5 linked regions of the Oryctolagus cuniculus genome follow. The protein of the gene in region 3 interacts with the protein of the main gene of each other region in a biochemical or structural test. Links are inferred from orthologs where the notes say so. Each region holds a gene or a part of one and is shown on either strand. Other genes may lie near its edges. The genes, in order: SATB1, IRF2, KAT2B, CTBP1 and histone H2B type 1-B.

Region 1 (2,194 bases), about 1.8 Mb from region 3:
GTCTCACCTGCTCTCTGAAACTCTTTCAAAGTAAGTAAATAAACGTTTAAAGAAAATGCTTCCTGAAGAGTTTTTATTCAGAGGGTTCATTTTCCCATTTACTTAATTTCTTACTATTAATAGCCTTTAAAAATACTTATACTTTAGCTTAAGAAAGTGTTGCTACAGTTAAAATACTGTGAAATAAAAGCAGGTTGAAGCACTCTAAGAACGTAACTGTCAGAGTGTGAATGTAGGTTTTTGTTGGAGTTTGGGCATGCTATGTTGTTTATCAAGCAAAATATCAACCAAAAAACATGGTTATCATTTTCATTGTGAAATTTCATAACTCTTTAAAAATGAGCATGTGTTTGTGACTTTTTACAATATTTTAAGTGACTTCTCAGTTGTTCTTTCGAAAAAAAATATCAAGAAAAATAGTATAAACATGCACTTAAGTGAGAGGACCATCCTTTGATTCTTCTTCAAGGTGACTTGACATAAGCAGACAAACCCTACCATGTCATACCATACAAACAATTTTAATTGTGTAGTTACAGTCAATAACCACTCCTAATCAGAACGTTTCTGCATAAAGAAAATTGTGATACACTTATAAAAACAGCCAGCTGTAACAAAATAGCTGGTGTTTTCATAGCCATAAACTCATAAAAAAGAAATACACCTTTATACAGAAATTTTATACAGATGTACCTTTAAAATTGATTGTAAACCAAAGGAAGACACATTGCAAACATCAATTATTTCACATTAATTGCATAATTTTCTAAGGTGATCTATTAGTTTTATTTACCTAAGCTTATTTGCATGATAGTAAAAATTGCATACAACAATAAGAGTGAAGCTTATAGTATGAATTGCTTGGATAACATAGAGCACTTTTTATAGGCAACTGTGTAAAGCACATTTTCTCTATTTAAAACTTTTAAGACACTTTGTTTTACTGCCCATCAAAATACATTTATAAATAGAAAAGAATATCAGTATGGTAACAAGAGAAGCAATATTACATTTAACGGAAACTTCCAAAAAATTAATTACAACATGATGCTGCAGGATCTACAAATAAATAATGAGGACTAAATTGTGTTTCACATTTTCTTTTCTTTTTCAAAAAAAAAAAAATAAAAGGCATGTAACAATGTGAATGAAAAAAATTACAGTGAACTTTTATTTCCAAAATAAAAACAAATTTGAATTACGGCAGTGCCATATAATACAAGGCATTTGTTGGCATATGTCATCTTTAAACTGCATTCCACAGTCTATAGTTCTTTTGTAACATACAATAGAGTAACAAACTCTTTTTTTTTTCTTTTTTAAAATAAGGGGCAAGTTTCCAAAGATCATAATTAAAGGAAAGGAAATCATAATCACAGAAGTTATAATGCTTGTTTGAGGCTCCAGAATAATAATCATTGAAAAATAAAAATCACTGGTACCATGCTTACAGGCACACACCTTGGTGTGTTCCGTGAACACAAATTTTAATACCAAACAATCCTCGATGCTTCACCTGGGGCTGCGAGCAGTTTGTAAAACTTTAGTGCAGTCTGCATGACTCCTCTCCCAGCCTTCCTGTCTGTGCGAGTTTCTGAAGATTCATTGGCCAAACAATGAACGACAAAGGGTTTCTGAGAGAATGCAAGGTGGACTTCTCATCTTGTTAGTAAATACCAGTGGCATTGTTGAACGAAAATAATACTACTATCTCAGTCTTTCAAATCAGCGCTAATGTCTGTGTTCCCTTCCACGGACAGCTCCTCTTCTAGCTTCACCGAAAAAAGGGTGTTGGCATTTTTGTCTTGGACACTCTCTTCCAAATCCTTGAGCAACTCCTCTTCCTTGTACTCTGCCACATCCACCTCGAGACCGGAATTGTCCTTCAGCTTGCCGTGGTGCTTGAGATAGTACCGCTGGTTCTGGAAGAACTTGATGATGGTGTACTTGGGGAGGTCGAGCTGGGCCGACAGAGTCTGGATGGCCTCTTCGTCAGGGTACAGGCCCACGTCTTGGATGAAGCTCTGCAGGATTCCCAGGGCTTCCACCGAAATTTTTGTTCGCGGCCGCGTCTTCTGCCGGTTCTCCTCGTCGGACTCTGCGGGCGAGGCCACGGTGGGCTGGCGAGGCGGGAGCCGGGGGCCCGCCTGCGGCTGCGGCTGCGGCTGCGGGGGTGGCGGCGCTGGCTGCTGCT
Region 2 (4,264 bases), on a different chromosome or scaffold from region 3:
ACCATTTGTTTGCCATAATTTGCTTCCAGACCCTTCCTTTTGATGAAGATGACATTGTACAGGTAAGTCTGAAATATGTGGAACTGTCTCTAAGTTTTGAAGGTCAACAGGAAAAATACGACTCCTTGAGAATGAAATATGTACGTGTTTAATTTAAAGAAGCAGTTACAACTCATAACAATGCATGAGAATTCTCCCATCCAAGAGGCCAAAATCTCATTCCTACCCAACAGGCTGTTATAAATTATAATCATTCGCTAATTACAGTGAAATTCTGGACTTTGCCACACTAATCAATAGATGTTCCAAGGTCACAATCTAAAGGTGTCAGTTGAAATGCTAAAAATTCCATCTACTGAGGTTTCCTTAGGGAAGACACAAAGTTTTCCCAGGATTTTTTAGATTTCTATTTTTTCTCCTCCCCCCCCCCCCCCCCCCCCGCCAACCCCATGAATGGAGGGATCATTCCGGGAAAATCAGGGCCCCCTGAATCTGTGTGTGTGATGAAGTCCAACGGGATCGCCGCTGGGGCCCTGGCAATGGAGCAGGCATCTGTCTAACATCAAGACCATCCGCCCCTGTGTCTGATACCAGACCCCTGTCTGCACCTGCCCTGGAGCACCAAAATGTGCAGGCTGCCAAGTGCAAGGGGTGCCCGCAGTGCATCTGAAAACCAATCAACGTCTGCACGCAGGACTGCAACCCCGATGATTCCTGAAAATCCACAACAGGAAACGTAAGTATCCTCCACCCTCCCTGGCCATTCATCAAAAGCAGACCGAATCACAGCCACGGGGCGGCCACGGGCAGAAGGCAAAGGCCGGCACTTTTCCTCGTTTTAGAAGGGCTGCATTTTCTAATTCCACAGCCAAGGACGGGAAGGAGAAGGCTGAAGACCGCGGAGCGGGCAGTAAGCCCCCAAGTTTCAAACACCGTGGGGTTAGCAGCCAGGGAGAGCTACCGCGCTACATACACAGTCGGCCCGGCGGGTCCTGCCTACGCCGGCCGCCCCCGGCGCCCCAGCGGTGCCCAAACACGCGGCTCACGCCCCGGTCGGGCGGCCAGCCTCCGTCCCTTTCCCCCCTTCCGAGGGGACACGCGGGTAAGGGTGGCAAACGCACCGGGGCCAGCGGGTGCTGCCGCCGCGTTCCGGGGAGGGCGGGAGTTGCCAGCGACACCCTGTGAACTTGGACAGGCTCCCCGGGCCCCCGGCGGGTGCCAGCCCCCGGACCGTGCCGCCGGGAGCGGCCGGGCGCCGCGATTGGCTGCAGCCGGCATCGCTCGGTGGGCGAGCCGGGGCGGGCGAGGCGGAGAGGAAGTGGCGGCCGCGGCTTTGCACCAACCATGTTCGGCCGGCGGGCGAGTGTCACCCGGCGCCCACAGCGGGGTCGGAGGGCGCGGGGCGGGCATTCCCGTCCCCACCCCGCCGCCGCCCCGCGCCCCAAGCCCCCCTCTGGGGGGACGCCGGCCCTCGCGCCTGCCCTCCCGGGCGCCGCTCGGTCCCCGGAGGCTCCCTGCCCCCACCTCGCCCGCTCCGTAGCCGAGGCGGGTCAGGCCCAGCGCGCGAGGCCGGCCGGGGGCGCCGGCGGGGACCCGGAGGCGCCCGGCGCTAGGCCGCGGCCGGGGCAGATGACCCGTCCGCGCGGCGCCCTCCCGAGACGCGCCGCCTGAGCCCCTCGCGCGCCGGGACAAGTGCAACGACAAAGCCCCCGGGCCAGGCCGGGCGCTGGCCGGCGGGAAGGAGGACGCGGCGTCCCTCCAGAGTGGCGGCGGCCCAGCCCCCAGGAAGCCCGGCGCGTCGGCCAGGCCCGGCGCCCAGCCTCGCGCTCCGAGCCCGCTCCGGACGCTGCCACCCGACGCCCGCGACCCTGCCCGGTGCCGGGCGGGTGGGCGAGCCCCCAGGCTCAGCCGCGGGGCGCCCCTTCAAGTTTGCTGTCGCCGGGGCGCGGGCAGCTGGCGGACGGCGGGTGCCCGCTTATTTACACTGGCGGCTGCCGCGGGAGAGGCGCCGCCGCCGGCACCGAGGAGGACCTGCTCCCCGCCTTCGGGTCTGCTGGCGGCCGCGGCTTGTAAACACACATACACGCACACGCAGACAGGACAGTTTTGGTTTTAAATGAGGCCCTGCTCCAGCGGACCCGCACCCCGACACACGACACCTGAGGTACGGAATCACACAGAACAGCTCTGTGTCCATGGAACCACTTCTTCGCATCTGCAAATCCAAAAGTGAAATTAAACCTCCACCAACCTCCTCCTCCTCCCTCTCTACCTCCTCCTCCTCCTCCACCTCCTCCTCCTCCTCCTTGCAGCCTCAGCAGCCCCAGTAGCAACAGCAGCAGAACAGCCGAACCTGCTTCCCCTAAAACCAGATGATCCATAATTGCGCCGAGTGATCCTCCACAAACCGGCATTAATTTTTAGGAACCCCGGCATTTTCCGTCTGCAAAACATCGTGTCAAAAGCATCAGGACACGCACACGCAAACGCACAGCCCCCACCCCCGGCCCCGTCAACAAGCCCTCGAGAGAAAACACACGCACCGTCACAACTATTATTTGGCCAAAAAAAAAAAAAAAAATGTTACCTTCTCCGTGTGCTTTTTCACGCTAGCCGTGCAATCCCGCAAGGGCTAAGTGTTGCTAGGGTGTGGGAAATGGAAACGAAAGCCCGTCAGTTGAATAATCGCGGGAGCAAAACTAAAAGTTACTCCCCGGCTGGCCTGAGAACAGTCCAGATCGAAAGCAAAACAAGGAGAGGAAACTGCGAAGCGCCGCGGCTGGAAATCCCCCCGCCCCCCGCCCCGCTCGCCGCCGCGCGCCCTCGCCCGCCTCCCTCCGCCCGCCTCCTCCGCCCTTCCTCCCCAGTGTTTGTCTCGGCCTTGTGCAACCGGGAGGCGGCGGCCGAGGGCGGGCGCGAGCGGCCGGGCCGCGGGGCGCGGAAGTTCGCCGCCGCCGCTCATTGGCTCGCGGCGCCGCTTTCATCGTTTCTCGGAAAAGTCGATTTCATTTTCACTTCCCCACGTCGCGGGAGCCACGGGCGGCCGCGCGTGAGTCTAGCTGCTCGCGCACAGGGGCGCTCGCGTTCCCCGCAGCCGCACGCGCGTGAGGGCCCCGGGTGGGGAGCGGGCGCGGGCGCGGGTTTGTTGGGGCGGGGGTCAGGTCAGAAGCTGGTGCAGGCTGGGGTGGGAGCGAGGACGGGCAGGTGCGGGCCCTGCGCGTCCTCGGGGTCGCCTGGCGCTCTGAGGAGGGGGACCCGAGGCGGGGAGCGTGCGGGGCGCGGGGACGGGAGGGCGGCAGCCGGTTGCTGTGGGGCAGCAGAGTGTAGCACTGCCCACCTCGAAGGAGCGAACGCGGGGCAGTGATGTGAAAAGTCGGCATCCCTGGCGCCCCGTGGGGAGGCTGGCGAGCGTGGGAGTCGCTGCTCCTCAAAGATGTGGTGGCCGGGGTCGGGGCCTGGGCGGAGACTGGATGCTTTCTTAATTGGCCTCTTTAGTTCACTCGCTGAGCACCCTCGGCCTCAGGTTTCCAGGCCGGGGATAAATGGGAGAATAGAATACAGGTGCCTCAGCCGCCACCTCTAAGCCCAAACTCACAGCACTTGGGACCCAGTCCTTTCTCATCACTTGCATAGGAGAGGATAGGCGCACACCGATTAGAGCCGCCTCTCCCCATGGGGGGCTTAGGCAAACGGCTCGTCCCTTCTCTAGCTATTTCTTCTCATATTATTTCCAAAAGTAATAATAAACTCCAGCACCTGTCTTTGTCACAGAAGCATTGAATTATGTGCACTGGATAAAGAAAAGTGTCGGGATATGCACGTGTGGTGGGGCGGGAGCTGAGGATCTAGTGTCCCGTTTTGTGGCTATGGACTCCAGTGGGTCTCATATACGCACATTATTCATTGTCCCCTCTGTCACAGCGACCCAGACACTCACTTTTCTTAATTTGTATATCCATGACGCCCATAGGGGCAGACACACAAACTGTAGGATAGTTGTCACTCTTCACCCACCCTGAGACCCAGATCTCTCTCTTTTTTTTTCGACCAAAAAAGTTGCCTCACTGTATTTCCCCTGGAATGTGAAGAAGAAGTGGGGAAGAAGAAAGAAGAAGGGAAGAAATCATCAGGGTGTCGGTTTGAAATTCTCACTCTAGGCACACATGGGACCCAGATCTCGCCTCGCAGCCCCAGGAGTGCAAGAAGCAATAGCCTGGTGTCATGGCACCCGCAGGTGCTGCGTTCCCTGAGTCTCTCAAAGCCA
Region 3 (3,518 bases):
TTTGAGGTGGTTGGGGATTTGTACCTAGAGTTTTGGCAGCAGAGTCACACATACTGAAGTCGGAGGTGCTGTTTGAGTCCAGGGTACCACTGTCAGAGAGAGCTTGAACCAGCTTCCCACTGCCCAGTAGTCTCTGCTTCCCAGATGTGTTCTCAGGACTTCCATCCCAATCTTCTCACACTGCCTTGTCTTCCACTTGCCTCTAATTTGTGTTTTTCCTCCTCCTGCCTATTTATAAGATTTTTTTAAGTTTCATACTTTGTTATAAAAATAATAAATGTGCATGTTGATGAAAATTGGCTTCACAGAGAAAGAGTGAAGAAAAGTACCACCTATAGCCTTTCTGCTCTACTAAAAGTAGTCTTTCAGTGCTTTAGATATTTCTGTTTTTCTCCATTGAAAGACAATCAGTAAGCCTAGGTGGGCTGTGAATATCTGGATTTCTAACAAGTTCTCCCTCAGTGATTTCTGTGGGCTCCCAAAACCTGAGATCCATTTGGTTTATAACGTGATGGGGGAAGTTAACATATTGTTTAATAACTGGATCCAGTTCTGACTCTACCATTAACTCGATGGGGAATTTGAACCAGTTATTTAACCTCTCTTTGTCTTAGGTTTTTCATCTGTATAAAAGGGGATAGTAATGTTCCTCTCTTATAGGGTCATTATAAAGATCAGGTAAGTTGAAATATATCAACCACTTACAACATTGCCTATCAATACTAAGAGCTATATATGTGTGTAATAAATTAAAATAAATTAATGTAACTCTTAGGGTTGACATGAGGATTCAGTAAGATGTTCCAGTTTTGCAGGGTCAAAAGAGGATACATTTATAGAAATGGATTTCTGTATTTCTATATCCTAGGGCTGCCCAACTGAGTCATTTAAGTTAATAATTTTCTAGCATATTTGATTTGAAGGTGATAGCCATAGATGATTAGTGCTTTTGTCCCTCTACTAATATTTTCATTTTTTCTTTTTAAATCTTACTATTGTTTTTATTATTATGTCTAGATTTCTATCCATGTTAGAAGAAGAAGTTTATAGTCAAAACTCTCCCATCTGGGATCAGGATTTTCTCTCAGCCTCTTCCAGAATCAGCCAACTAGGAATCCAAACAGGTAAATTTCTTTTTATATAAATCATAGAATAACCAGGAAAACCAACATGAAGTGTAGGTGTAGCTTGCTCTGCAGGTATTTTTATTTTTCACCAGGAAATTTAAGACTATCTCCAGCAAAAAGCAAACACTTTTGCATATCACCCATCTGCAGTTCTATTAATGAGGAGAAAACAGGTGCAGACCAAAATCTGAGTTATGTCTGTATTAGTGAGTATAGGTGCAGACCAAATGGTTAAAACAACAAAACTATAGTATTTGTTTAGCTTTCACATTACAATTTAATGGGTGGTATAAAGTCCCAGGCAGCTCAGCTCTGTAGTCAATGCTGGCTCTTTTCAAAGTCACTGATAGTCTCAGTTAATGGCTAAACATGCCCAGGAATCAAGTGACAGTCTGGCCTCTAACCTGTGATGTTTGTTTTGTACATGAAGTTACTACCAAGAGTAATGGGAGCAGAGGGAGTCCTGGGAGAATGGGAGGAAGGCAGTCCCACATCTCAGGCTGTGAAGTACTTCCTGCTGGGTCAGAGCATCCATTATTGTCCTGAATCAGCTCATGACATTAGTAGGCATTTTATAAAAAAACAGATGTCTTCTGGAGTAACAGTAACTTTAGAAAGAGGATCTGAATTGCTGCCTTTGATAGTAGGAAGACTCAGCAGAGAAGGTTGACAGGAAATACCAAAACAACAATTCATATCTGGCTAGGGGGAAAGACAAATTCTCAGTTTTGAAATCAGTAGCTTTTGGTAGAGCGCCAGTTCCATGTGTAATATGGGGGCTTGTGAATATTGCCTCTAGCAAAGTTCATTTTATTTTGGCTTTTAAAAAATTGGGGTTAAATTCCCCCCATTTTTTAATGTACTGTGAGTTTTGACAAATATTTTTGATAATGCAATAATTATCAGAATAAACTGCAAACAAATTCCCTTGTACCCATTGGTAGTCTATTCTTTGTCCTATCTCTAGCCTTGGTAACCACTAATCTTTGTGTAGATTTTACCTTTTCCAGTGTATCCTACGAATTGCATCATATGTACTTTTTGAATAGGATGGTTTTCATTTAGCATAATGTATTTGAGAAGATTTAAAAAATTTTATTTGGAGCTCATGTTTTGGGTATAAATATGATTAAATGTCTACAAAGCAGAGCACATAGGGAATGATATTTTATTTGGATCAAACCCTTTTTGATTTAACTCTTGTACCAAAATATGTCAAAAACGTCTCTGTGTCCATTTTTACTTTAGGTCATAACTCCATGTTTCTCTGGTCCAAATCCTGTGGTGCTTTGAGACCTAGCTGAGCCTATTACATCCTCCCTGCACACTTAAGTGATCAGCATTTACTGGATATATTTCTGTGGTCACTGGACACATCCTCTGCGTTGTTCTCTCTGTACCTGTGCTATTCATTTTGTCTTTGTCTTTGTCTTACCCAACTTTCAAATGTCATCTCTCTTGCAAACCCTTTCCTAATGTCTCCCATTCCCCTCAGCAAGAACTGGATCTCCTTTCTTTCAAGCCTTCACAAAACCTTGGATACGTTCTCTCCTTGGTTCTCAAACATGGCTGCGCAGTGGGGTCATCCATGGAGATTTGAAATATACTGATTTTTCTAAGGGCCATCCTGAGAGAGTGTAGTTGGCTGAGGGTGCATTGGGACTTTTACAAGCTCCTCAGGTGACTGTAATGTGCAGTAGCATTTGAGAACTGTTGTGGCATATGATAACTTACCTCCTGTTATCCTAGCCCCGTTTTTTCTGCATAGCTTTTCGATTTTTTAGAAACAAATTATTTATTTGATTTTTTGGAAAGGCAGAGAGAGTAAGAGGGAGAGATATCTTTCATTCATTAGTTTACTCCCCCAAATGCCCACAACAGCCAGTTATGGGCCAGAGCTGAATTCAGGATCCTGGAACTCAATCCGAGTCCCCCACATGGCTGCCAGGTACCTAAGTATTTGAGCCAACACCTGCTGCCTTCCAGGGTGCACATTAGCAGGAAGCTGGAATTGGAAGCAGGGCCAGGACTTAACCCAAGGACTCTGATATGGAATGCTCATGTCCCAAGCAGCAACTTAACTGCTGTGCAAAACACCACCCTATCTCCACATGTTTTCTCTTCTATGAATGCAACTCCTTGATGATCAGAGACTCAGTTTTGCCACAGTAATAGTAATAATTGATACTTTCATTAAATGCTTTTCTATGAAGTTTGCTTCATATTTTTATTAAAGATTTGCTTAAATTTATTTGAAAGGCAGAGTTACAGAGAGGCAAGAGAGAGAGAGAGAGAAAGAGAGTCTTCCATCTGCTGGTTCATTCCCCGATTAGCCACGATGGCTGGAGCTGCACCAATTCGAAGCCAGGAGCCAGGAGTTTCTTCTGGGTC
Region 4 (4,230 bases), on a different chromosome or scaffold from region 3:
CATGGTCACTACCCGGCCCCCCGTGGTTACTGCCCAGGCCCCCCCCCCGCACCCACTTCCCAGCCCCCCATGGTCACTACCCGGCCCCCCATGGTCACTGCCCAGGCCCCCCCCCCCCGCACCCACTTCCCAGCCCCCCATGGTCACTACCCGGCCCCCCGTGGTTACTGCCCAGGCCCCCCCCCCCGCACCCACTTCCCAGCCCCCCATGGTCACTACCCGGCCCCCCGTGGTTACTGCCCAGGCCCCCCCCCGCACCCACTTCCCAGCCCCCCATGGTCACTACCCGGCCCCCCGTGGTCACTGCCCAGCCCCCCCGCACCCACTTCCCACCCCCCCATGGTCACTGCCCCTGCCCCACGCCCAGCCGGGGCTCTCGCCAGCCCCGGGAGCAGACAGCAGGGCCCAGCGGCCTCTACCTGGGCACCAGCCGTCGGGCCGGGCTGAGCTGTGCTGTGGAAAGTTCCATCAGGACGCAGCCGGGGGGTGTGTGAGTGCCTGGCTGCCGAGACCCCAGACCCCAGACCCCGGAGCCCGGAGCCTGCAGCCGGGAGCCCCCCAGGCCGAGGGGGCTGCACGCGCGCTCCTCTGCCTCCTTGGGCCCGCCTGGTGGAAGGCCAGGGGTCCCTGCTGCCGGCCTGGGCTCTGGCCACTCTGGTGGGGTCCCTCCCCGGCCCCCGACTCCACTGCCCACTCTTCCGGAAAGCGGCCAGCCCCAGGGGCAAGGCCTCCCCCGCGGGAGTGCGGGAGTCCAGGGCTGAGGGTTCGCGCGGGAATTAGTTCGTTTGTATTCACATCCGCCGCGCTGCGGTGCTTTCTCTGAACGGGGGAATCTTCCTTGGCTGGGCCACTCCCCAGCGGGCGACCCGGACCCAAGCCCTGAGTCCCGCCTGCCGGGCGCCCGCCTAACGGCTCTGCGGGGCTGTCCGAGGACGGGGTGGGCCCGAGCTCCAAGCTGCCCGCTGGGCCTCCCGGCCCGGTTCTCCCCGGGGTCCGGGGTCCGGGCGGCGGGCGCGGGCGGAGACGCCCACCCTGCGGGGCTCCTGGCGCGGCTCTCACACAGGGCCCGGGTGAGACGGCGTCCGAAAAAGAGCCGGACAGCACCGCGCGCGAAGGGCCCTGGGGCGTGCGGGACCGGACTGAGCCAGGCGCGGGGGAGGCCTCGGCCGGGCGGGCGCACACCTGGCCCGCCGCACCTGCCCGCCTGCTCCCCCGCACGGGGCTCGGAGCGCGGGGCCGCGCCGGCCGCTTCCCGGAGCGCCCCCGGCAGGCGCCGCACCTGCACCTGCAGCGCCCGCGCCGCGGGGCCCGACCCCGCGGAGGACGGCGGGCGGGGCCGCGCCGAGAGCCCGAGCCGCCCGCCCGCGCCGCGCGCTGCGCCGGCAACCAGCAGACCAACCGCGCAGGCCCCGCCCGCGCGCGCCGCCGCGTGTCCCCGCCCGCTCGGTCGGTCGGAGCGCGGCTCGCGGCGCGGCTCGCACGGCGGCGGCGGCGCAGGCGGCGGGCGGAGCAGCGGACGGCGCCGAGGCCGCCCCACGCGCCGGGCTCGCGGCGGCGGAGCGCGCGGGACTCGCGGGGCCCGCGGCCGCCCGCGCTTTTCAATGGGCAGCTCGCACTTGCTCAACAAGGGCCTCCCTCTCGGTAAGGCCGCGCGCGCTTCCGGCCGGGGCGGGGGCGGCGACGCGCGCGCGGGGCGGGCCGGGCGCGCGCCCGTGGGCGCCGGCTTTGTGTGCGAGTGCGCGTGCGCGCCGGCGGGCGGGGGGCGGGGGCCGCGCGCATGCGCGGGCTGCTGCGAGCGAGTGCGCGTGCGCGTGCGCCGCGCGGCCTGGCCCGCGCAGGTGACACAAAGGGGCCCGCGGGCCTCGGGGCGGCCCCGCAGCCCTGGCCGCCCCCGCCCCGGGCTCCTGGGCGTGGCGCTGCGGCCCCGGCCCCGCGAGCGCCCAGCGGGCTGCCCTGGGGCCCGAGGCCCGAGGCCCGGAAGTGAGCACGCAGGTCGTTCCCCGGGGCGGCGGGGAGCCCGAGGCCTCGCGGCGCCACCTTTGTGTCCGGCCCGGCGGGCGGGCTGCGGCCGGGGTCGCGGGGCCCGCTTCTGGCCCTCGTGATGAGCAACCCCGGTTAGGGCAAAAGGGGGCTCCCGGGGGGCCAGGCCCGGCCACAGTGGCCGCGTCCCGCCGCCGACCCGGCCTTTCCGGCCCCGAGGCCCCCACTCTGGGTCTGCGCGCGGACAGCGGAGGGCTCGAGTCCCCCGGGCTGCTGGCCCCCGGCCGGGGCTCCGGTTCCCGCGCTCTTCCCTGCCCTGCCCTGCACTTGGCCTGTGTGCCCAGTCCGGGACTGCGGGGTGGGGGCGGGTGGGGCGCTGCGCCTGCCTCTGCGGCCCTGCACACCGGCGGCTGCCCCCAGCCTGGGCTGGCTCTGCCGGGCCGGGGAGGGGACGGTGCTTGGTCTCCCCAGCGTCTCCTGACCCCACAAGCGCGCTCAGCAGGTGCCGGCCGGGCCTCTCTTCCCAGTGTTCTGTGTCCTGCCTCGGGGCACCCGGGACTGGGACTGTCCCATGGGCTCAGCCCCGGTTCTGGCCACATCCCGGGCAGTAGGGGCACCGCTGGCCCTGTCGGCCTCTGAGGCCGCACGGTGGACCTTGGTAGCCCGGGGTTTGGCCGTCTGGGCAGCGTCTTGGTGCCTGGTCAGCATGTCGTGGCTGGCGTCAGGGTCCTGTGCCGAGGGTTTGTCGCCTGCCCTTGGGTCTCTGGCCAGGAGCCTGCAGGTGGTGCCTGCCCCAAAACCCCTGTCCCCTTGGTCTGAGTGCCCGCGGCTCCGGCCTTCTTGTGCAGCCAGGCCTGGGGGTCTCAGCCCCCTCCGTGTGGGCTGCCAGGAAGCAGGGTGTCCACGGTGGGGAGGGTGAGGGCTCCCGCGGCGGGCACCCCACGGTGCAGGCTTCCTGCAAACCAGACCCCCTTGGCTGCTGGGCTGGGCTGGGGCGGCCAGAGCCCCGTGCACGTGCCTGGTGTGGGTGCTGGGCGGGGTGGGGGCCACCTGGCTGCTCCCTTGCCGGCTGTGGTATGGATGCCACAGGGGCCCCACTGTTCTCAGAGCCAGGTTTCCTGTGGGGTCCACTCGTCCCCCAGGAGGGCAAGCAGGGGCTGCCCTAGGCCCTCCACCCCAGAGTGGAGCCTGTGCGGCCTTCAGGACACGCGTGTGGTGAGCGGGCCCATAGCTCCCTGGGGGGTGGACCATGGTGGCAGATCTGCACCTCCCGTGGGACCCTCTGCCTGGGGTGGGTCCCCCTGGCCCCTCGTGCCTGCTGCCCACGGGCTCAGTTCCCACCCGGCAGCGGGTGGCTGCATGTCCCCTGCCAACACTGTGTGCAGGCCTGGTGGACGCTGGGGTGGCCGTCGCAGGCTCTTCCGTGTGTTGAGCGGGAGCCAGGCCCCAGAGAGCCGTGAGGGGCAGCAGGGGGTGCCCTTGTGGGGCAGGAGTGGGGCTGGCCGCACTGGGCTTTGTGTTCAGGGTGTGGGGGTTGTCTTTTTTTTGAGATTTATTTATCTGAAAGGCGGAGTTACAGAAGAGAGAGGTTGAGGGAGGCAGAGAGAGAGAGGTCTTCCATCTGCTGGTTCACTCCCCAGTTGGCCGCAATGGCCGGAGCTGCATGGATCTGGAGCCAGGAGCTTCCTCCGGGTCTCCCACATGAGCGCAGGGGCCCAAGCACTTGGGCATCTTCCACTGCTTTCCCAGGCCACAGCAGGGAGCTGGATGGGAAGTGGAGCAGCCGGGACTTGAACCGGCGTCCATATGGGATGCCGGCACTGCAGGCAGCAGCCTCACCTGGCGTGGGGGTTCTTAATCGGGCTGCGGTGAACCCCAGTTGCTGTGAGGCGGGGAGGGTGTGGTGGGCGTCAGGTCTGAGATGTCTCGGAGCTCACAGGCAGGGATGCGGCAGGGGTCACTGGTGGCTGACCTGCGCCAGCGTGGTGCCGGCCGGGACCCCGTGTCCCTGTGCCTGTGGGACCCCTGAGCTGCCCTGGCGCTGTCCATCCGGGGCAGTTTGACCACTGAATCCGTGTTGCTGCTGCTGCGGGGACCAGGCTGTGCGGGCGGGAGTGGACTCGTCCCCCCGGGCCAGCTTGGCCTAAAGTCCCTGCGAGTACGAGCTCCCCCCGCAGCCCCGCCGTCCCCGCAGCGCCGACTGCCTCGGGAGTGGCATGGCACGGCCCGAGGCCAGCCGCTCAGGTGCCC
Region 5 (2,528 bases), on a different chromosome or scaffold from region 3:
ATCTCGCGCACCAGGCGCTGGAAGGGCAGCTTGCGGATGAGCAGCTCGGTGGACTTCTGGTAGCGCCGGATCTCGCGCAGCGCCACCGTGCCGGGCCGGTAGCGGTGCGGCTTCTTGACGCCGCCCGTGGCCGGCGCGCTCTTGCGGGCCGCCTTGGTGGCCAGCTGCTTGCGCGGCGCCTTGCCGCCTGTTGACTTGCGCGCTGTCTGCTTAGTACGAGCCATCTCGCGCCGGTGGGACTCAAACTTCTTGTCTGCGGCGACAGAGCTGCCTTTAAATATCGTTAGGACTACTGTGATTGGCTTCCGGATTTTCAAAAAATCCGCGCGACAAACTCATTGGCTAAAGGAGGAACTTCGATGATTGGTCCACTCAGACAACCTGATTGGCCGGATTCATCCACTGTCCGTTTGGGATGGTAGACGTTTTCTAACATCTGGATCATTCCATCTCAGAAGCGTACCTAACCGTGGAGGGAGATTACCTCAGTAACAGGCCCTAGCGTGGACCCCGAAATCCCTAATTACCTGGGCCTGCCGTCTAATAGCGCCCGATAAACACTGAGCCACGGAAAGGTGCCCTGACTTAAGGCAAAACGCGTTTTACGTTTGAAACAGCTGCACCTCGGGGGCTATTTCCCGACTGACACACCCCCCGTCACTGTGTGGCCTTTCATCCGTCACAATAAATACACGTTTCACTTGTTTCCACAGTTTTCTTAAGCGCTAACGCTATCACCATGGGAAGGACTAATTCCAGTCAGGGTTAGCAGCTTTTTTGTGAAACAGTGGATGGCCCTGAAAAGAGCCTTTGGGTATTTCAAAGCGAGAGTTGCGTCGTCTTTACTGTGGTTTCACTTGCCCTTGGCCTTGTGGTGGCTCTCGGTCTTCTTGGGCAGCAGCACGGCCTGGATGTTGGGCAGCACGCCGCCCTGCGCGATGGTGACGCGGCCCAGCAGCTTGTTGAGCTCCTCGTCGTTGCGGATGGCCAGCTGCAGGTGGCGCGGGATGATGCGCGTCTTCTTGTTGTCGCGCGCCGCGTTGCCCGCCAGCTCCAGGATCTCGGCCGTCAGGTACTCGAGCACGGCCGCCAGGTACACTGGGGCGCCGGCGCCCACGCGTTCCGAGTAGTTGCCCTTGCGCAGCAGGCGGTGCACGCGACCCACGGGGAACTGGAGCCCGGCCCGGGAGGAGCGGGTCTTGGCCTTGGCGCGCGCCTTGCCGCCTTGCTTGCCACGCCCAGACATGGTACAGCCAAACACGCTTCGCAATCTGAAGTAAAGAAAACCATACCCGCCAAGACTGTGCTTTTATAAGCAGCGCAGGGCTACTACAGTACGTCATCCTATTGGTCGAAATAGGTTCGCCTTTTCTGCCCAATAGGAAAAGACAACCCGGATACCTTATTTGCATAAACAACCCCCCTAGAGAAAATTTCTTTGTTGTCCAATCAGAAGTGAGAAGTCTCAAACCCTCATTTGAATTACGGGACTATAAATATATGCACTCCGGCCTGTCATCACTAATCAGCTGTAGACTGAGTCTGTTTTAGTCTCTCAGCCAATATTAAAAGCAATGCCTGAACCCTCCAAATCCGCTCCCGCCCCCAAAAAGGGCTCCAAGAAGGCGATAACAAAGGCGCAGAAGAAGGATGGCAAGAAGCGCAAGCGCAGTCGCAAGGAGAGTTACTCCATCTACGTGTACAAGGTGCTCAAGCAGGTGCACCCCGACACCGGCATCTCGTCCAAGGCCATGGGCATCATGAACTCGTTCGTCAACGACATCTTCGAGCGCATCGCCGGCGAGGCCTCGCGCCTGGCGCACTACAACAAGCGCTCGACCATCACGTCGCGCGAGATCCAGACGGCCGTGCGCCTGCTGCTGCCTGGTGAGCTGGCCAAGCACGCCGTGTCCGAGGGCACCAAGGCTGTCACCAAGTACACCAGCTCCAAGTGAGCTCCCGAATTGGCGCCGCCGCCCCTCACCCCAAAGGCTCTTTTCAGAGCCACCAACTCTTTCACAAATAGAGCTGTGGCCGACGTCCTTGTATTTTGCTCCTGTTGAGGTGGGTTTAGGTCGGGTGTTAGGGCTGGCGTTAGTGACGACCCCAGAACGCGTGTTTATCCCGTGCAGGTCGGCGCTGAGTAACCTTAGGGCACTTTGGTCGGGGTCGGGGACTGGGGTTCGCGATGTGATGGGAGATGCGCATTTCGTGAACTCGGGTTCGCATGAGCTTTGAAGAGCCCCCTCTAACATCTCCAGCTCCTCGACAGTGAAATGGAGTGAAATTCCTGCAGTTCTCCCTGTTACCTACCTGTAGCCACTAATCACGTCGGCTAAGCAGTCCTTGAGTCTTCAGAAATCCATGGATCACCTATTGGATGGGGCGGATTTTTCTCAAGAATGGAGCCTTGATACTGGCTGGAGTCAGGATGCGATCTGAATCCCGCGCCTTTCCTGGTTCGCGGCCAGCCACTGGCTGAGGGGAGGGGCCAGGGCGCGTCGGGGCGGAGGTTGGCCAGTGCCGTG

Evidence for each region.
Region 1: of the proteins of KAT2B (region 3) and SATB1, one has a biochemical effect on the other in vitro, tested with the Homo sapiens proteins (2 studies listed by BioGRID, with this or other methods). The link is inferred for Oryctolagus cuniculus from reciprocal best matches to the Homo sapiens genes KAT2B and SATB1.
Region 2: the proteins of KAT2B (region 3) and IRF2 form a complex in vitro, tested with the Homo sapiens proteins (2 studies listed by BioGRID, with this or other methods). The link is inferred for Oryctolagus cuniculus from reciprocal best matches to the Homo sapiens genes KAT2B and IRF2.
Region 4: the proteins of KAT2B (region 3) and CTBP1 form a complex in vitro, tested with the Homo sapiens proteins (2 studies listed by BioGRID, with this or other methods). The link is inferred for Oryctolagus cuniculus from reciprocal best matches to the Homo sapiens genes KAT2B and CTBP1.
Region 5: of the proteins of KAT2B (region 3) and histone H2B type 1-B, one has a biochemical effect on the other in vitro, tested with the Homo sapiens proteins (3 studies listed by BioGRID). The link is inferred for Oryctolagus cuniculus from reciprocal best matches to the Homo sapiens genes KAT2B and H2BC3.

Annotation. Positions count from the first base shown.
Region 1 is NC_091435.1:153,910,943-153,913,136, forward strand, and holds the end of SATB1 (DNA-binding protein SATB1), read right to left. Parts: coding exon 1,713-2,194; 3' UTR 503-1,712; downstream 1-502. UniProt on the Homo sapiens protein: Crucial silencing factor contributing to the initiation of X inactivation mediated by Xist RNA that occurs during embryogenesis and in lymphoma.
Region 2 is NC_091433.1:66,289,407-66,293,670, forward strand, and holds the start of IRF2 (interferon regulatory factor 2), read right to left. Parts: upstream 2,806-4,264; 5' UTR 2,588-2,805; intron 2,444-2,587; 5' UTR 2,415-2,443; coding exon 2,354-2,414; intron 2,217-2,353; exon of another isoform or gene 2,160-2,216; intron 1-2,159. UniProt on the Homo sapiens protein: Specifically binds to the upstream regulatory region of type I IFN and IFN-inducible MHC class I genes (the interferon consensus sequence (ICS)) and represses those genes. Also acts as an activator for several genes including H4 and IL7.
Region 3 is NC_091435.1:155,739,384-155,742,901, forward strand, and holds part of KAT2B (histone acetyltransferase KAT2B), read left to right. Parts: intron 1-1,017; coding exon 1,018-1,124; intron 1,125-3,518. UniProt on the Homo sapiens protein: Functions as a histone acetyltransferase (HAT) to promote transcriptional activation. Has significant histone acetyltransferase activity with core histones (H3 and H4), and also with nucleosome core particles.
Region 4 is NC_091433.1:418,946-423,175, reverse strand, and holds the start of CTBP1 (C-terminal-binding protein 1), read left to right. Parts: upstream 1-1,415; 5' UTR 1,416-1,641; intron 1,642-4,230. UniProt on the Homo sapiens protein: Corepressor targeting diverse transcription regulators such as GLIS2 or BCL6. Has dehydrogenase activity. Involved in controlling the equilibrium between tubular and stacked structures in the Golgi complex.
Region 5 is NC_091436.1:153,352,427-153,354,954, reverse strand, and holds histone H2B type 1-B, read left to right. Parts: upstream 1-1,246; 5' UTR 1,247-1,574; coding exon 1,575-1,955; 3' UTR 1,956-2,011; downstream 2,012-2,528. Other genes in the region: histone H3.1, read right to left, coding at 1-224; histone H2A type 1-B, read right to left, coding at 854-1,246. UniProt on the Homo sapiens protein: Core component of nucleosome. Nucleosomes wrap and compact DNA into chromatin, limiting DNA accessibility to the cellular machineries which require DNA as a template.